Linked DNA regions of Macaca fascicularis. The protein of the gene in region 1 purifies or fractionates together with the protein of each later gene. This does not show direct contact. Links are inferred from orthologs where the notes say so. Each region holds a gene or a part of one and is shown in the gene's direction. Other genes may lie near its edges.

What was found.
Region 2: the proteins of WDR44 (region 1) and VAPB purify together in Homo sapiens (affinity purification with mass spectrometry; 4 studies listed by BioGRID and IntAct, counting the BioPlex papers as one, with this or other methods). This does not show direct contact. The link is inferred for Macaca fascicularis from reciprocal best matches to the Homo sapiens genes WDR44 and VAPB.

The regions. Positions count from the first base shown.
Region 1 is NC_088395.1:124,735,184-124,738,864, forward strand, and holds part of WDR44 (WD repeat-containing protein 44), read left to right. Parts: intron 1-151; coding exon 152-303; intron 304-2,773; coding exon 2,774-2,912; intron 2,913-3,681. UniProt on the Homo sapiens protein: Downstream effector for Rab11 which regulates Rab11 intracellular membrane trafficking functions such as endocytic recycling, intracellular ciliogenesis and protein export.
Region 2 is NC_088384.1:114,511,580-114,513,941, forward strand, and holds the end of VAPB (vesicle-associated membrane protein-associated protein B/C), read left to right. Parts: intron 1-272; coding exon 273-431; 3' UTR 432-1,746; downstream 1,747-2,362. UniProt on the Homo sapiens protein: Endoplasmic reticulum (ER)-anchored protein that mediates the formation of contact sites between the ER and endosomes via interaction with FFAT motif-containing proteins such as STARD3 or WDR44.

The DNA.
Region 1 (3,681 bases):
TTAGACTCCATGTTTTTAACCAGTATGTTACGTAATAAATAAATTTTGCTCTTCCATTTAATGAATTTTCTTGGTATGCAGGAAATATGAAACTATGATAGTAGCAATATCTATATTAGCTAGTAGTGATTTCTATTGCTTTTCTGTTCAGTGTTTCATACTGATCAAGATGATCCTTCATCAAGTGATGATGAAGGAATGCCATACACAAGACCAGTTAAATTCAAAGCAGCACACGGTTTCAAAGGACCTTATGATTTTGATCAGATCAAAGTGGTGCAAGATCTTAGTGGTGAACATATGGTAAGCAACTTTTTCATTTTTTAGGATTGATACTGTTTTTGTTAAGAGAAATACTTTGGCTTCTACAAAACTATCTCTATGTATGTAACTTTGCTAGCCTGACTCAAGAACGGTGAATTTATGTTAACATGATTTAATGAATAGGTAATACAGAGTCTGTCTCTGAAGTATTCCAGAAGTGACTTATCGGCCAGGTGTGGTGGCTCACGCCTGTAATCCCAGCACTTTGGGAGGCCAAGACAGGCGAATCACTTGAGTTCAGGAGTTCGAGACAGCCTGACCAATATGACGAAACCCTGTCTCTATGAAAAATATAAAAATTAGCCGAGCATGGTGGTGGGTGCCTGTAATCCCAGCTACTTGAGAGGCTGAGGCAGGAGAATTGCTTGAATCCGGGAGGCAGAGGTTGTGGTGAGTCGAGATCGTACCACTGCACTGCAGCCTGGGCTACAGAGTAAAAGACTCCGTCTCGAAAAAAAAAGAAAAAAGAAAAGAAAAAGAAAAAAATGAGTTATTGAATAAGTAAACTCTCAGCCTATATCACTAAGAAACCTATGCAAAGGCACCAAACTTTAAAGCAGTTAAATTAGAGGGTGGTCTGTAACTTTGAAAAATGTTTAAAATGTTCCCAACCATATTTTAAATAATTTACAAAATACATCAGAAGCTCAATATATGTTGTAAAGTGAGATATTCAGCTAAAACAAGGAGAGAGGTAAAAGTTCAAGTGCTCCTTTAGAGTTCAAAAGTACCAATGTAGATGCAGTTGCACAAACTGTATTGCAGTTAACCCCTGAAAATGCTAGGAACACAAGGAAGGCAGTGATAAAATTTAGAACTGAATAATGTTGTACCCTTGATTAGGGAATCTGTTTACATTTTAAGTCTAAAAGTTGGCTTAACTGGAAGGAAGCAACCATAAATATATTGGATGGCAACCAAATTCAAATTTAAATTTTGATGCTTACAATCTACAGATAAAATGTTTGAGTTGATTTTAGTATTTTCCTTAAGGAAATTGATAAATTTCCTAGTACTGTATTGACTCGTTGTTTCCTGTTTTAAATAAAATCTCATTGTAGTAGGCTCCAAATGACTCATTTTTAATACACTTGAATTTTGTAGAAGTGAATGGTTATTTCAATAAATGGGCTGTGGCATAATCTTTTTGATACATCTGAATGTGTATATAATAGTATTTCTTGTAATAATATTTGGTCTTTCCAACTTAAGAGGTTCGTGTTCTCTCTCCCTTCTCCTCTACCCCCACCACACACACATACTTTCCTACTGTTTTCAGTGTCTAGAGATTCTGGCCATATACTTTGAAACCTTGTTTCTAGAGAAAAAAGTAGGATGCACCATTCTAATACTACTACCTTTTTTTTTTCCTTTTTGTGGCAAAGTCTTGCTCTGTCACCCAGCTGGAGTACAGGGGCGGGATCTCTGCTCACTGCAGCCTCTGCCTCCTGAGCTCAAGCAGTCCTCCCTCCTCAGCCTCCTGAGTAGCTGGGACCACAGGTGCGCACCACCATGCCTGGCTAATTTTTTGTGGTTTTTGTAGAGATGGGGTTTCACCATGTTGCCCAGGCTAGTCTCGAACTCCTGAACTCAAGTGATCCACCCACCTGGACCTCCCAAAGTGCTGGGATTGCAAGCACGTGCCACCATGCCCAGCCCATTCCAAAACTGTAATACTTCTAAGTACCTGGTGCTATGAGGGTCACTGCCAAGGTGGGCTTTAGTCTTCCTCAATCCTGCTCAGTTGTTAGTGCTATGCTGAGGGCTCTGCCACCCGTCTTTATGTTCAGCTAGGGGACTGAGATCCCCAACTACGATTTGTGCTTTTCCAATGAAGATTTCTGACCACTTTAGAACTCCCATTTCTGTTAATATGTGGACAGGGTTTGAGTTCTTGAAGTTGTTAGTTTGGATTATGGAACACCACAACTATCTTACCCTACCTTTCTTCTGAAATTCTACTTTTGTGGTATTAAAGCACCATTGAACTTTTGGACTTAAGTAGTGTTAGCAATGTGAGGATTATTTTAGTATACATTATTTGGCATAATTTTAAACTTTGGCTTTAAAGTCTTGTCTCTAAATTTTATTTTATTTATTACTATTTTTAGATGGAGTTGCGCTTTTGTTGCCCAGGCTGGAGTGCAATGGCACGGTCTCAGCTCACTGCACCCTTCACCTCCCAGGTTCAAGTGATCCTCCTGCCTTAGCCTCCCAAGTGGCTGGGATTATAGGCGCCCACCACATGCCTAGCTAATTTTTGTATTTTTAGTAGAGATGGGGTTTTACCATGTTGGCCAGAATGGTCTCGAACTCCTGACCTTAGGTGATCCACCTGCCTCAGCCTCCCAAAGTGCTGAGATTACAGATGTGAGCCACCGTGCCCGGCCAAAAGTAAAGTCTCTAAAGTTGTAAAGTATTAACTTTGAACCTTCTTTTGTTTTCATAGGGAGCTGTTTGGACCATGAAATTTTCTCACTGTGGCCGATTACTTGCCTCAGCTGGACAAGACAATGTAGTGAGAATATGGGCTTTAAAAAATGCTTTTGACTATTTCAACAATATGCGAATGAAATACAATACTGAAGGTATTTTTCATGTATTTAAAAATCTACAGAAACCTGAAGTTTTTACATTTTAGGTATACTGATGCCCTACTTTTCTGGCAGTCATTTGCAGCAACCACTATTTATGATAATAGCCAAAAACTTGAAAGTAAGACAGACGTCAGTGGTAAAAAGTCTCTAAACCCAATGAAAAGAGCTGCCACAAAGCTTTTGATTTATCCCTTTCCAGGTGTAGTGTGTAGTTAATTTCATCAACTATTGAGAACATGTTATTTGGTTTCCTCTGGCAACCTTCAGTTCTATCCTAGGTTAAAATAGAATTGCTAATTAACTAGAAAAAGAATGAAAATCATATATATATCTCTCTCTCCAGTAAGTAAAAAAGATTAAGGAAAGAGTCATGGAAAATGAATGTGAATTGTCAATACATCAAGGGATATATGAAAAAAATGTTGAAAAGAGAAGCCTCAGAACATTATGTTCACACTGATTTCAACTATGTACATGTATGTAGAGTTGATGTAAATTTGGGCTTTTAAGTTTATGGGATTCTTCTCTAATAACTATTTAACTGTGTAATAAGTTTTTTCCACACACTCCCTGCCATCAAGTAAGGCTGCAAACAAGAAGTAAAGCATAGGAGGAAGGAGAAAAAAGGTGGCCATGGGTGAGAGTGAATAGTCAAAGCACCAATTTGAGGAACATAGAAGTCTAGGGAGATTCACTAAACTGGCAAGCTAGGCCTCATATACTTGAGTACATCCTGTGAGTATTGCTTGCATTATGTTTC
Region 2 (2,362 bases), on another chromosome or scaffold:
CATGGGAAACCAAGGAGCACCCTGTTTAGATTTCTGTTATAACTAGCAGCATCAAGTGGAATGTATGAAAGAAAAGAGGGGACTGTTTTCTCTGTGGCTTCAGGCTAGCCCTTTCCCCTCTGTAGCCTGCAGTTTCTCCATTTGCAAAATGAGGTTGGACCATATCATGTCGGCCAACACTGGGCATGAACAGCCCATCCTGTTAAGCTGTACGGTTGACTCCCCTTTCTGGTGCCTTGGCTTGTCTTTGAAATGTGCATTTGCTCCCATAGGAAGAAGATGGACTGCGGATGAGGAAGACAGTGCAGAGCAACAGCCCCATTTCAGCGCTAGCCCCAACTGGGAAGGAAGAAGGCCTTAGCACCCGGCTCTTGGCTCTGGTGGTTTTGTTCTTTATTGTTGGTGTAATTATTGGGAAGATTGCCTTGTAGAGGTAGCATGCACAGGATGGTAAATTGGATTGATGGATCCACCATATCATGGGATTTAAATTTATCATAACCATGTGTAAAAAGAAATTAATGTATGATGACATCTCACAGGTCTTGCCTTTAAATTACCCCTCCCTGCACACACATACACAGATACACACACACAAATATAATGTAACAATCTTTTAGAAAGTTAAAAATGTATAGTAACTGATTGTGGGGGGAAGAATGATCTTTATTAATGACAAGGGAAACCATGAGTAATGTCACAATGGCATATTGTAAATGTCATTTTAAACATTGGTAGGCCTTGGTACATGATGCTGGATTACCTCTCTTAAAATGACACTCTTCCTCGCCTGTTGGTGCTGGCCCGTGGGGAGCTGGAGCCCAGCGTGGTGGGGAGTGAGGTCATCTCCACACAGTAGTCCCCACGTGGCCCACTCCCGGCCCAGGCTGCTTTCCATGTCTTCAGTTCTGTCCAAGCCATCAGCTCCTTGGGACTGATGAACAGAGTCAGAAGCCCAAAGGAATTGCACTGTGGCAGCATCAGACGTACTCGTCATAAGTGAGAGGCGTGTGTTGACTGATTGACCCAGCGCTTTGGAAATAAATGGCAGTGCTTTGTTCTCTTAAAGGGACCAAGCTAAATTTTTATTGGTTCATGTAGTGAAGTTGAACTGTTATTCAGAGATGTTTAATGCATATTTAACTTATTTAATGTATTTCATCTCATGTTTTCTTATTGTCACAAGAGTACAGTTAATGCTGTGTGCTGCCAAACTCTGGTGGGTGAACTGGTATTGCTGCTGGAGGTCTGTGGGCTCCTCTGTCTCTGGAGAGTCTGGTCATGTGGAGGTGGGGTTTATTGGAATGTTGGAGAAGAGCTGTCAGGAAGTGTTTTTCTGGGTCAGTAAATAACAACTGTCATAGGGAGGGAAATTCTCTGTAGTGACAGTCAACTCTAGGTTACCTTTTTTAATGAAGAGTAGTCAGTATTCTAGATTGTTCTTATACCACCTCTCAACCATTACTCATACTTTTAGCACCCAGGCCCAAGTCTGAGCCTAACCTCTCCTTGGGGACCTAGCTTGGAGTCAGGACGAATGGATCGGGGTGCAGAAGGTTAGAATCGAGGGCACCAGCAGTTGGGGGTGGGGAGCAGTGGGAGAGAGAGACTCTTCAGCTAATCCTTCTAGTACTAGTTGAGAGTTTGACTGTGAATTAATTTTATGCCATAAAAGACCAATCCAGTTCTGTTTGACTATGTAGCATCTTGAAAAGAAAAATTATAATAAAGCCCCAAAATTAAGAATTCTTTTGTCATTTTGTCACATTTGCTTTATGGGGGGAATTATTTTATCATTTTTATTATTTTGCCATTGGAAGGTTGACTTTAAAATGAGCTCTATCACTGGGAAATATGTGTTTCATGATTTAAATGTACGTGTGTGTGTGTGTATATATATATATATATATTTTTTTTTTTGGTTGTCTTCAGCTGACAGTATGAAAAATAAAACTGCTGAAAAAGCTGAGCACCTGGTCACCCTTGGCCTTCCATTGCTTTGGCCTTCAGTAAAAAGCAGCCTCGCTTCTAGGTCAGGGAACCATGCCATTGAGACTAGTAACAGGCGTTCTGGGCACAGTCCCACTGTGCACAGGTTTGAGAGGACAAGTTCATCAGAAGGAAGGCAGTCCTTAGAAGTCACATACATCAAGCCACATTGCTCCTAAGCCTGGCTGTGTTAAGCTGGGTCAGGTGCCTTGAAACAGGAGGAGTGGAAGTCTGTGGTTGGTGAGTAAGGAACTTCCTGTCTTCATGAAAAAAGTTGACTTTGAATCCCAGGTACTCACAGAAATGGTGAGCAGACTTAGTTGTTACCCAGGCACCCATGGATTGCGTTGAGTGTGCAGACAGGGAGGTCACC